Linked DNA regions of Drosophila melanogaster. Changing the gene in region 1 together with any one later gene gives a genetic interaction. Each region holds a gene or a part of one and is shown on either strand. Other genes may lie near its edges.

Region 1 (6,977 bases):
ATGATTTCCGCCCCTAATCAGGTTCTCGATGACAAGAACGTGCGGCGAAGGTTTAGGGCCAGTAACTACCAGTCGACAACTCGTGTCAAGCCTTTCATTTGCACCATGCCCATGCGATTGGACGAGGGATGGAACCAGATCCAGTTCAACCTGTCCGACTTCACGCGTCGCGCATACGGCACCAATTATGTGGAGACACTCCGTGTACAGATTCATGCAAATTGCCGCATCAGACGCGTCTACTTCTCCGATCGTCTCTACTCGGAGGACGAGCTGCCGCCGGAGTTTAAGCTCTTCCTTCCCATTCAGAAGCCGGTGCAGAAGTCCAATGCGATTTGTAGCTAAATTCTGTATGCATCATCAATCAATTAGAGCACCTAACCAGACGGAGTCGACGATTAAAACGGCACAAAATGCACAAGACTGCCATCCAGCACTCATTCAACACTTTATGGGAATCACGAATAAAAATTGCATCATGTACATAAAATTCTATTGATCTCTTGTAAGTATCTCCGTTCCCGTCTCGGTTATCAGAATGGTGTGCTCGAACTGGGCGCTACGTGCGCCATCCAAACTAATGGCCGTCCAGCCATCTTGCAGCACTGCTATTTCTGCTCCGCCCAGGGACAGAATGGGTTCAATGGTGAAGGTCATGCCGGGCTGCATCTTTCCAGGAATCTCATTATCTACGATGTGCAGTTTGATTAGCAATGGAGGAGTCTCTTAAACAGTCTTACTTACAATAGTGTAGTATCTCCGGGGGGCCGTGGAAATAGCTACCGATTCCATGTCCAATGAAAGCAGCTATCGATGCCAGATCATGTTCGTCGCAATATCTGTCTATGAACTTTCCAATCTCATTGAATTCCACACCGGGGCCGCACAGCGAAATGCACTGATCCAAACAGGATTTAGTGGCCTCCACGAGAAAGCCACCCCGTTCGTCCACGTTGCCCACCCGAAATGTTTCCGAACAGTCGCCATGGTAGCCGTTCAAAAAGACTGTGACATCAATATTTATAATATCCCCATCGGCCAACTGCCGGTCATCCGGAATTCCGTGACAGGCGATATTGTTGATCGACGTGCAAATGGACTTTGGGAAGCCGGCGTATCTCAGCGGCGACGGATACGCTTTGGACTCGAGAATTCTTTCATGCGCAAAGGCATCAATCTGATCGGTGGTTGTGCCAACTGTTGCTAGTTTACCGCATTCGCGCAGTATCCTGGCCGCCAGTCTGCCGCTTAGACGCATGGCATCAATCTGAACCTGGCTTTTGATTTCGGGCGATCCCAGCGTGTTACCCGGTGGCATATTCTTGAAGTAGTACGCCGGTTTCTTGATCTCCTCGGGCACAAAACGTTCCGGGGAAACTTGGCCGGTGGACACGATCTGTTCATATTTGCCAGTATCTCTGTAAGTATACCCATCAGAATAGAGTCCTGAAAGAGATAAGCCGGAGCCCATACCCCTTAACTTTGCCGAACTGAAACAAGTTTCTGGCAGTCGTTTTCTGGCGCATTAAACTATTTAAAAGACCAATTCTTCTCATTTTGTTTTGATTATGACATTTTTGCAGTGTGGCAGTGCTGTAAATATTTTTACAGATAACAGCCGAGTGTTAGGGGTATTCCCCCTTTTTTGATAACGGCACAGTGCTTCAAGTTTTTGGAAACTAAACAATTTATAGAGATGTAATATATATTTATACATCCTTACTAACTCTTTGCATTGTAATCTAATAAATAAAAGAAAATCGAGTTGTTTATTGTACTTTGTTTATAATATAATATCTGCAAAAGTGTTTAAAATATTATTTATGCCACATTAGGTTCGTATTTGTTTCGTACATGATCTCCATATAAATTAAATTTTCCATTTGCATCTGGCATGACTGCGAAGCGTGCAAGGGGAAACGAGGGTGTTGCAGAAATTTAATATATCTTTTCGGAATTCAATAGAAGTTGTGCAAAACAGCACATGGAGTTCCTACGATCCTGCGGCCTATTTTTCAGAATATTATGTGTATTATATGTTGACATCGCTCATCATTTACTTTACTATTAGCCACACAATAAGACTTAACTTTACTCGGATTTTTAGGATACAGTCGACTTAAGAGCTATTTAATGCATAACTTTAAATTCTTAATTAAACAAAGAAATCTATGACCTCTTCTGTGATACTATTGCGAATCAGATAAGCCTCCGCGCAAAAGAGAAAACATTTGTTTCGATTTTGTCAATTAACGTTATCTCTTACTGGAGTAATGATTTTTTTTTTTAATATTTTTGGATTCTAAAATTTGTGAGTGCAGTTCGGAAAACGGAGATTAATACATTTGTTACATTTTCAATGTACGATGTCGGTATTGCATAGTTTATAGTGTACTTTCGATTTTCGGTTTATTTCTCATTAAATAATTACAACTTAGGCGCTCCCCTCGATTATGTATCTTTTGTATAATATGAACGAAATACGCGTTGTCAAACGGGCCGTGGATCGCTCGCTTGTTTACTCTGACGTCGATTGATGATGTGTGCCGACAAAACACAAATGTCCCACATCTATGCACTTATCCATCATCCGCTTATGCCGGCAGCTGGAGCTTCTTGCCCTTAAGAACTTTGGTAATGTATAAGTAGAAGAAGTCGCAGTACAAGACGGTCTGGACAACTCCGGCGAAGATCGCGATAAGGTCGTAGTGCGACTCGACCATGTACCGGTAGACCCAGTTGAGCAAGTAGAGTGCACGGTACGATCCCAGGGCGAAGAGGTAGTGGCTGGTGATGGACTCGGCCTCGCCGGTTCTGCTCACTAGGAACAGCTGCGGCAGAATGGCCACCGATTCCAAATAGATCGAGAATGTCCACAGCACTTCCATCACGGTAAACTCATGATTGATCACCAGCGAGAGCAGGGCGCACGGCACCAGCAGGAATTCGATGCGGAACGAATCGTGATTGTGGTCATAGGTGGCCTTAAACTTCACGTACATCAAATACACGGTGGCACCGGACGTGGCCAGGAACAACACCTTCATCACCGAGTTGTACAGGCTCACGTAGGTGGTGAACAGATCCAGGTAGCGCGTCAGATAGACCACGGCGAACAGGATCTGCGACTTGCCCGATATTCCGGCGCACGAGCGGGTCTTCCATATCTTCAGCAGCAGTATTATGATGGCAAACACATGCGACAGATCCCCAGCAAAGCGAAAGATATTCATCGTGATCTAATCCGCCGACTTGGCTACTTGGCTGCCCGGTTGGCTGTTTGATTGTTCTACTTCCTTTCGCTGCGGCTGCGTCACGGAACGCACGCCTATATGAAAATGGGAGTGTATACTATAGCAATAATGGCGGCATTCAGTGTTTCAACAGCTGCATACGTTACCAAAATGACTTTTCGCCTAATTTGCCAACGAGTAGAGATGTGAGGGCTTTGCCGCTTCGGAAAAAAACTTGTCAGAATGTCGGCATAAACAATGACGTGGCTGATGAATAAGAATAAGTTTGATAACATGGCCACTGCCTATCGATATCGATAAGTGCCGCCACATGATTTTTTTAATGAAAATTCGACCATCTCTAACGAAAAAAATTGAGAAAAAACATACTGATTCAAATTTTTTCTTTTTTCGTTTTTTATCATAAGATTTAAAAAAAATTTAATTTTTTTCTCTTCTTTTGCTAGGGATAGTCGAATGTTTGTTTAAAAAATCATGTGGATTATCAATAAAAAATTTATATTCGATAGGCTCGATTGAAAGACACCAGAAAATGCTGACCGCCGCACACGCCACTCGATTTATTCTTCATGCCTATCGAAAAAAGCCGTGGTGAGGTTCCGGCATCTGTATTTTATTTACAAGCGATAGAATTAACATAGAAATCAAATAAAATGGTAAGTAAAAACACTGTTTTAAGCATCTGACTGCAATGGTTAAGTTTTGTTTAGTTGTATTAATTCATAGATTCTTACTTTCGCGGTTGCGATTTCGTATTTACATAGGCATACATACATACAAACATGCATGCGAATAAATAAAACAATTTGTTTTGGCTAATTAACTATTTTATATTTGTTTAAAATTATGATTTTTAGTGATCTTCGATATTACGCTGAGATTTGCTATTTCAAACTCTGTGGTTTATTAAAATTTTTATAAATACCGGCTTTTTTAAAGGGTCGAAATGGTTTACAAAAGATGGCGCGACTTTTATGCATGCTATTGTATTTCACAATTAAATCCTTTGAATTCCTTTATTTCAGACGATCGGCAAGAACAACAAAATGATTCAGCACCTGAATTATCGGGTGCGAATCGTGCTGCAGGACTCGCGTACCTTCATCGGTACCTTCAAAGCCTTCGACAAACACATGAACTTGATCCTCGGCGACTGCGAGGAGTTCCGGAAGATTCGCTCGAAGAATTCCAAGGTGCCCGAGCGCGAGGAGAAGCGCGTGCTGGGCTTTGTATTGCTGCGCGGCGAGAACATAGTTTCACTGACGGTGGAGGGACCACCGCCGCCAGAGGAGGGCCTGCCCCGAGTTCCCATTCCGGGAGCAGCTCCTGGTCCGGGAATCGGTCGCGTGGCCGGACGCGGAATGCCTATCAACTTGTCCGCCGTGCCAGCGGGTCTCCAGGGTCCCGTGAGAGGTGTGGGCGGACCCGCCCAACAGCACATGGCTCCGATGGGACGAGGAGTGCCACGAGCACCGATGATGGGTGCACCGCCACCGGGCATGATTCCCGGCGGCATGCCCTCGATGCCAGGAAACATGGGACGCGGTGCTCCGCCACCGATGCGCGGACCGCCGCCCAGCATGATCCGTGGAGCACCACCACCGGGCAGGGGTGGCTATTAAGTATAAAGTACAATCTAATAAAAACTCATTTAGAAAACACCACTTAATCGATGGATTCGTGTATTTATGTGTTGAATGTAAGCATACGTACATACAATGATTATTGCTTTACATCAATTATATGAGAACCTAAGCAGCAGGGACTGGATTTGGTCGTTGCCAGCCACATCGTTCGTTAATTGGGTGTTCCAGTTAAGACCGAAACGCCTCGTGAATGATTATACCTTTGGTACGTGCGTGTGCGTACAGGATGTTTTATGCCCAGATGTTGGAGAGATCCCAGATCTTGATGAGCCTGTCCTGGCCCACTGTCAACAGGCGCTTTCTGTCCTCGTCCAGGTCCATGTAGACGATCGAATGCTTGGCGTCATTGAATGAAGCCAGCGAGGGGCGCTCGACTGTCTGAAGTTGTTTGTAGCACGGATCACAGGTACGCACATCAAACTCGAAGCCCATTATGGGTATGTTAATGCGATTGGTGGAACAGTTGTCGCACACGGCTTTGCCGCAGTGGCGACAATGATGCTGTCGTATTCCTGACAGTCAGAAATTACTTGTAAAACAAAGAGTAACTCAAGTGTAAGCTATTTATCTCACCCAGCTGCTTTTGATCCATCATTGAGCGGAAGTTCCAGAAGAAGGGCCTGGAGCAAAGCTGACAGTTGTTGGTATCCACCCAGCCAGGAACCTCTTTCCGCATTGCATTCATTTCCCAAAAAACCACTACTGAATCTTCGCCACAGCTTATCAGTTGTTGCGTGTGATTCGCGTACGACAGGGCGGAAACTTTGTTGCTACATAATCAGAAGTGCCGATTACTATCTTATTTTATGAATATTATTTAAGATTGGAGATACCTATGTCCCTGCAGCTCGTAAATGGTGCCACGTTTGCCACCAACATCCCAAACTAGCACGGACTGATCGCAAGCTCCGCTAAACAAGAGCTGAGGGCCTTCCACCCATTTGAGGCACCGGATTTCCGCTAAAAATTAACCAATTCGTATATAATTAGCTTACTAAATATCATTTGTAACTTGTTTACCCGAATGTCCATTGAAAGTGGTAATTAGTTGCACTCCCTGAACATCGCACCTTAGCATTGTTATCTGTCCAGCATGATCGCCCACAAAGGCATACTTGGCCAAAGCGTCGAACCTAAACGCAGATTATAATTAATTATATGTTGCTTATAGAATATTTCGCACAGTGCACACATTTATGCCAAAATTTTGTGTAGATAAAATGACTCAGTTGACACGTCATTAACAATAGAAGGTTCTCAAATTCTAAATGAATTCCATAGCCGTGAAGAATTGCAGTTTATTGCCGTGTCAAAGAAAGCAGTTTAATCCAATTAAATGACCCGCTTATCCCATATCCACTGTCGCACCCCCTTCCCCCTTTCACCATCCATTTATCATACTTACTGGAGAGCCGTGCATGGTGTCTCAAAGTTGTATCCGCCCACCCGTTTGCCGCTCTCCGTGCAATGATAGGCGAACTGCTTATCTTTGCCGGCGGAGAGTATCCACTTGTGGGTTTTCGAGAAGACCACGGCCATGACCCGCGCTTGATGGGACAAGTAATCCCGCAGGAAGGACAGGCGATTGCAGTCTTCGGATAGCGCGTACTGGGTGACCGTTCCGTTTTCCTGGCCGACGTACAGGTGCCGGGATTCCGAAACGTACTCGATGGCCGTGCAGCCGGAAGGCATATACTGGCAAATGCTAGGCCAATATTGACCAGAATCGCGTTTTAGCCAAACGCGAACGGTTCTATTGGGGAAAACATGAAAATGTCAGGCATACCATTTGTGTATATTTTTAATGGGCTACAGCTACGCACTTGTCATCGGAAACGCTAATTACGCCGTTTTCGCCCGGAATTAGGATCGCTGCGTTCACATCGTCGCTGCTGCCCTCCAGCTTACTCAGCAATTCCGGCTTTTTGGAGGTGTTAAAGCGATCATTGTTGGTCCGCTGAGCTGGTTTTATCTCGGCAGCCATATTATTTAAGGTGGATCCAGTCCGATGGTACGCCTACGCCCTATTTAACGCACTCGATGATAATGCGGTTATAAACAATCCGATTCTCGGACT
Region 2 (6,642 bases), on another chromosome or scaffold:
GGCATTTCCCAGCCAGCCTTTCTATAATGACTCAAAGCGTTTCCATGTAAGACAAGATATTTTGGCATGTGATTATCTCATCCAAGACCGCCGTGAGCCACATGTATACATCAGATATATCACATGGATACACAAGTGCCCGCATCCAATGGATGCAAACCAGCTGCAGCGGCATTTGCAAGTGCCAACATGCGCCACATCAATCTGCAGCCGGTCCGAGGCACGTTGAGCGTTTGATTAATTTAATGACAATGCCCGGTGGCGCTATTTCGCTATCTGGATAGATGGGTGCAACCCACATATGTATACTCGTACCAGTTCCGCCGATCGTGTGCGCATGCACCGATGATATAAACTTTCCCAAGCTCGCCATCTCTACTGCCATTCCAGCTCGAATCCCTGAAGGAATAGTACGATTAAATTAGTCATTCGTGTCGTTGATTTATTTTAGAGCTTCCATAAATATAAAGCTTACGTCTTTCAAGTATTTCACGCTTTCTGTCCATTGTTTTCTTTGTTTCTTCTATTTTTAAAGCACATTTGTTTAATAAACATTTATTTTTTTTGTGTGCTTGACGTCACAACTGGTAAAACTGTGGAATTTTAATGTTGTAGTATTGGTTGTCTTTACTTTTGCAATAGTTCGGATATTTCAATTAAGTTACAAAACATATCTTTGTCTAGTTTTACATGAGTATATCGAGAACTTACTCACTATTCTATTGCTGTGTTTTTATTCTTTTAAGTTATATGTGTTCAAAATGGTACTTGAAATTGATGATTGTGTTTCTTAATATTTTCAGCTGGTAATCACAATATAGATTTGCCAAAATGCCGAAGCCACTGTTAAATTCGTGCTGTCTGTGCCAATCGACCCGGAATGGCTCCGTTATCTCGGGCATACTGGCGATAGTCCTGTCGATCATCACCATCGTGGTGATCTTCACGACGCGGGTGCACTTCAAGACGATAATCTTTGACTTCATCCCCAATGACATTGTTAAGATAATTCTAGTCATCAATTTGTGCATGACGATCTTGATATCGCTGCTCATGATCATTGGTGCCCTGAAGGTGTGTACTCAGCTAATTTAATTAAATGCATACAATAAAAATCTATCTATGTTCCAGCGGAACCACTACCTGATGGTTCCATGGGTGGTCCTCGGCATTATGATTGCCATCGGTCTGCTGATCTCCGTCATCTACACGGGCATCGTCTTCTTCATCGACGGCTACGTGCTGACGGGAGTCCTCTGGCTGATCTTCGGCCTAATTGTCTGCGGTAAGTGCACTCCCTCTTGGTTGGTGAAAAATGGGTGAGGGGGGGGGGGGGGTCTTGCTACTTCTCCATGTGCGGTTTTTAGCACCGGATGACGGTTATTGCGAGCCGTTTTTAATTTATAGACGCATTTATCATGCCATGATTGCCCGTGTGCTGAAAACAGAAGTGCCCCGGCGCCGCAGACTAGAGGATTTTGGAGGTAACTTGCCGGGTGGTGCAAGCAAATGAGGCGCAAAGTGGCTTGTTGAGGCCATTTGTAGAAATGTCAGCTGCAGAACTTTGATAGGAGTTTATTGGGAAAGCTATACGATTGTTAAATAAGCTCATTAAATGAATCAAACAAATTTAATTGTATTAATTCAGCGGTATAAAAGTTAAAGAACCGAATCACATTGTGAATGCTTCAGGTTTATACATATATTCCTCGCTTTTTTTTTACTTTTGAAAAATGATATTTTTCAAGTTTTACAAATTTGCATATTAAATTTGATAAAAATTAAGTGCTTACCGAAAATGAACCACATACGAGTTAAAAGTCAATTTACATTACATCGTGTAAAATCGGATGCAATTCATGTAGAATATAAAATGACAGCACTCTTTTGCGCGCACATGCCCTAACCCAATGTTCCTCCTCCATCTTTCAGCGATTATGACCTATTGCTGGTGCGTGGTCTATAGTGAATACGCCAACCTGTCCGAGGAGAACGAGCGCGGTCGTTACAACAAGCAGCCGTACCGTCGCTAGAATCTCCAGGAGCACTATTCATCAGAAATTGCATTCAAGAAGCTGAATCCACCACCCACACATCTTCATCCTAGCTTCCTATGTTCGTTTTTAGTGATTATGTCTAACTAATAATTATAATTTAGTTGAGGCGAGCCAGCCCTTCGCTCACATCGAATTTACGCGGCCCGTGGCATTAAGTGCAATGGAATTATGTATTTAACATTTAAATAAAACTTTAATCCAGATATTATGTGAATTTCTGTTGTAATTTGTACGTAATACTTGTAATTGTGAAAGAGGAGTTCAAAAACCGAAAACTAATAACAAAAATAAAAACAAACTATTTATCAACCGTTTGAGAGGACGAGGTCTTGTGTGTTTGTTGTTTTTTATTTCAAAATATAGGTTTTATCTTTAGGCATATATAGTTATATTCAATTCTCTCAAAGTCTATCAAAATTGTAAATTAACTAAAAATATGGATGTGTAGGGGGCGTTTCATGTGGTTGTTGTTTTAGCTAAGTGGGCGTGTTCCATGTAACTACACAAGTAACTGACTGCGCTCTACAGCTCGCTGCGCGAGTACTTGGGCTTCAGCTCCTCGATACGCTTGATGAAGTCGCCCTTCTCCAGGCAACCGTCACAGCTCTCGTCCCAGTCGTTGAGGATTTTCTTCAGGTCGCGTACCTTCAGCTTCTTCAGGTCCACGCTGTTCAGATCGATTTGTTTCTCTGCAATGAACAATCCACATAAATAAATGTTTATAGAAGTATATTAAGGCGAAGAGCAGCGACAGAAAAGCTAAATGTTAAGCCAAGTTAAGAGTTTTTGTTTCTAATAGACACCCTAGATTAATTGACTCTTAGTAAATGACGATTAACGTTTTCTAATAATCTAAACCATTAACATTCATTTTACAAACAGACCTATCTCATAAAATGTAGAATTTTATGCGAGTTACCACAAAATAATTTAACAAGCTATGATATAATAGTAAAGCATACATGCGAAATTGTATTCCTGAATTCTTTCCTTTTGCCAAGAAATGCTAGGTGCTTCATATTGAATTCTGTATACCCACACTTCCTATATATGTATAGTTCCTAACTAAAATATTTACCATAGCGAAGGTCGCAGATTTGTGCGTCCTTCTTCTTCAGCTTCTCGCAGATCTTCTCAGCTGGCATGGACCAACTGAGGGGTTTGCTCAGCTCGTTGAGGATGCCCGTGGCGGATTCTTCCAGACCGCCGAGGTAGTAACACTACGAAGAAACGCATACGTGTATCATTTTTCCCAGAGAATAGGAAGTGAGGGAGAGGGGGCGGCACTTGTTTGCCGGCTACTCACGAATCTGTGTTCCTTGTTTTTCTGCGCTTTGCAGAACTTTTTGAAGGCCGTTTCGATCTGTTTGTAGTCCTTCTTGGTGGAGTCGTCCAGCGAATCTGCGAACCGCCTAACCGTCTTGACGCAAACTGCGGAACGAAAGAATGGAGCCCGGTGAAAATCTGTTCCAGAACATCTCAACCACTTACGTGGCCAATCACATACCTTCGCAGTCCTCCTCTTTCAGGGCCAGCGACGTTTGGGCCAACGTCGCCAGGAAGCCGATCACTACCACCATGTACCACGTCTTCATTTTGTTATTACTTCGACTGTGCTTGAGCGTACTTTAATTAACTGTACTGAATTCTTTGCATGCGATTTGATTTTGTCCCCGAATTGTTAGCGTTAGGTGGCCGTAGATATGGGTGTTCACCGATAGGTCAGGCATCGATAAAAGTACTCATTTATCGGCGGGGCAGCGCCACGTTTTCAAATTGGAAAACAACCGATATGGTCATACTATCGGGGTCCGGAATTTACTGGCTAACAGGTGTGGGGATCGCTCAGCTGCTCCGTTTTACGCAGAGGCACTCCTGCTCAGTTTTCAATCACGCGCGAATGCGAACGGAACTGCGCGTCGTGGAATTATTTAAATTAGTTAAAGCTAAGCAAATATGCTCGACTGCACGTTGCCCGTGACGTAGTCTTGGACTTAATCCTCTTCCAGTCCCTTAATATAGCACCGTATCTGTGTAATCGCCAACAGTATTGACCAAGTCGTCCAAGTGCTCACTACTCCCTCGGCTATTTGGAGTTATTGTAACCGTTGGCAACTGCCACAGCAAACGTATTTACAATTATCCGGATAAAATTTGCAATTACACACCTTGCTAAAAATAAAACGGAAAAGAAGCAGCCCATTATAATAAATCGTTTAAAATGCCTGATGTGAAGTTCTTTGCCGTGCTGCCCACCAATGCCAGTACCTCGGATCGAGTAACCCGGCTGTCCATCAGCGGCAACCTGCTCCAGGATCCCCAGCAGTGAGTCCTTTGATATTTCGCGTTTAAATTCCGCGAACTTTAAGAAAATCGATTAGCCACTTCCCGCGAACTGAGGTGGAGAAATTGCCTCTTTGCGTGCTGAAAATATAAATATAGTGTTCTTAAAATCGTTTACGTATGTGACCCGATTAGACGAAATACTCACCAAACTCGCGAACAATTTATGGCGCACACAAAAAACATGCAAATGGGCTCATGAATTTAAATAATTTATACTTCTTCTGCCAGATGATGTTTGTTTTTTATAAATTCCAAAGACCTCTTATGAGTTTATGATCTATTAGGGCGATAAGGCGGTGGTGATGGGACCATAAAGAAATCTCTGCCAGATGTATACGTAGTCGTCTGGTTTTACTGTATCAAGTCCATCGTATATGACATCACCAGACTAAAATTGAATCAGACACGCGCTGAAGATGCCGGCTATGAAGAAAACAACAAGCCAGTTGGATGGCAAAGAATAATACCATGAATTATGTATGCTTGAGGGTGGGAAGTTGTTAATCAGCTTATGAATGAATGGTCAAATGATGTCCATTAATCAGAACCATCAGTTACATCACTCAAGAATCCGGGTTTCTAATTGAACAATTTCAACGCAATTGATAAATCAAGACAATACATTTCTTATCTGTTCTTTAGATCGATAAGGTTCTAGTGATAGCTACCTAAATGTGTCATGATAATATTCCGTGACACTAGTAGCTCTTGTATTTCGATAAGGGGCATAACTTACTGGAAATTCCATAGCTTGACTAACGGATTTTTAACAATAAATCGCTGAAAATTCCAATTCCGTTCCTTGAATGCGCTGCACGTTTTCGCGCCTACTCACACTCACTATTAATGTCTGGGAGCTCCGGTCCCCAAAAACGAAAGAAAAAAACTCACCGAACCAGCATGTGCCATTTAAACAATTCTGATGACTAAGCGCTTGAGGGGGTCAAACAATCAAATAACGACGTCATTAGCACTGATATGTGATAAGTTATATCGCTTTAAGCGAGGGTACTACTAGTGCTTGTGATTTTATTGAATATAAAATATGCATATCATATTTACTTCATTCACACTTTGCTATTTACCGCCTTTGATCAAATGCATAGTGAAGACTATGTCGCTAGGCACGTATTAAGTTAATTTTTAGCTAGTAGCTAGTTCATTAGCACCTAAGTGAGACATATACATCTGATTTTTTTAACAAGCATTTGTATGTTTACCTCCGCTACAGATTCTCGGTGAACTTTGTCAACAGTCCGGACTGCACGGACAACATCACATACCACTTCAAGGTGGTGATTCCCACACAGACGATTATCGAGAATTATAAGCGGAACGGCGAGTGGAGCAGCCTGCACCAGGAGAAGTACCTGAACATCTTCGACGGTACAGGAGCTAGCGATAAGAACCCCAATATGACAGAAAGCTTTGCCCGCATTATAACCGAAATTGACGAGGCGCTCCAACTTTCATCCACAGAGTCCTCCTTTTGCCTTGAGTTCGCCTTCGACTACGCAAATTCAATGATGCGGGTGTACCAGGGTAGGGATTCGGGCCACAATTTCATAACCGAGTACGAGACTCTCTTCTCCCTGTCCGACATCCAGGCTGTACAGGTGTGGGGCGATGTACAGAAGGTCAACCAGTTTGCCCTAAGCTACAACTGATCGGGAGAAGAATCCCAAAGATCCCATGATCCCCAAGGTAGCCCGCAATGTTCTCTTATTTAATGCATTCTTTCTTCAATCGCATAGATTCAAGTTCGGTGGCGGGCGTCCTTAGTCCTAACACCGCACGACCTTAATCCCCTCACCTGTAGTTTTAATTAGTTTGTTGGATTCCGCACCCATCTAAATCACTTCGCTGCAGTAGCAACACGCTTTCACTCCTTCGCTTGTTAATGCGTTGAGTATCATTATAATTTGACTACAAGTTCTTGTTGATCGTGGGCTTAAGAAACATTTTCCCATCAAGATGATTGTGGTTTTTTAACAGTATTAAACCAATATTTATTTATTTGCAAAAATCTCAAAAATTTAATTGAAACACCTGTTTTCTTTACGTTCTATGTTAAATTGTTTAAAATTTTAAAAGTACTCAAAATTTTAATTGGCATTTGAATAGGTTTTATGCCCCATTTCTTGCAACATAAGGCAATATCATTTTCAATAGTATTGCTGGATTGCAGCGTTTTCCACTTATATCTTTATGATGCCGTAAGAGTTTGATAATATTCCAT

Evidence for each region. A genetic interaction does not mean that the proteins touch.
Region 2: of KdelR (region 1) and Manf, changing one suppresses a phenotype caused by changing the other (phenotypic suppression), as found in Drosophila melanogaster (one study listed by BioGRID).

What each region holds. Positions count from the first base shown.
Region 1 is NT_033779.5:10,423,427-10,430,403, reverse strand, and holds KdelR (KDEL receptor), read right to left. Parts: upstream 3,518-6,977; 5' UTR 3,396-3,517; exon of another isoform or gene 3,329-3,395; 5' UTR 3,234-3,328; coding exon 2,595-3,233; 3' UTR 1,772-2,594; downstream 1-1,771. Other genes in the region: Bug22 (basal body up regulated gene 22), read left to right, coding at 22-345; CG5188 (uncharacterized protein), read right to left, coding at 493-689, 745-1,418, 1,474-1,556; small ribonucleoprotein particle protein SmB, read left to right, coding at 3,908-3,910, 4,280-4,876; Wdfy2 (WD repeat and FYVE domain containing 2), read right to left, coding at 5,132-5,412, 5,474-5,670, 5,734-5,860, 5,921-6,033, 6,306-6,653, 6,724-6,884. UniProt on the Drosophila melanogaster protein: Required for the retention of luminal endoplasmic reticulum proteins. Determines the specificity of the luminal ER protein retention system. Also required for normal vesicular traffic through the Golgi.
Region 2 is NT_033777.3:16,346,521-16,353,162, reverse strand, and holds Manf (mesencephalic astrocyte-derived neurotrophic factor), read right to left. Parts: upstream 3,760-6,642; 5' UTR 3,653-3,759; coding exon 3,565-3,652; intron 3,489-3,564; coding exon 3,364-3,488; intron 3,278-3,363; coding exon 3,136-3,277; intron 2,747-3,135; coding exon 2,580-2,746; 3' UTR 2,362-2,579; downstream 1-2,361. Other genes in the region: CG10311 (uncharacterized protein), read left to right, coding at 832-1,074, 1,132-1,285, 1,933-2,033; CG14879 (uncharacterized protein), read left to right, coding at 4,279-4,382, 5,635-6,070. UniProt on the Drosophila melanogaster protein: Required during the maturation of the embryonic nervous system for maintenance of neuronal and cuticular connectivity. Essential for maintenance of dopaminergic neurons and dopamine levels.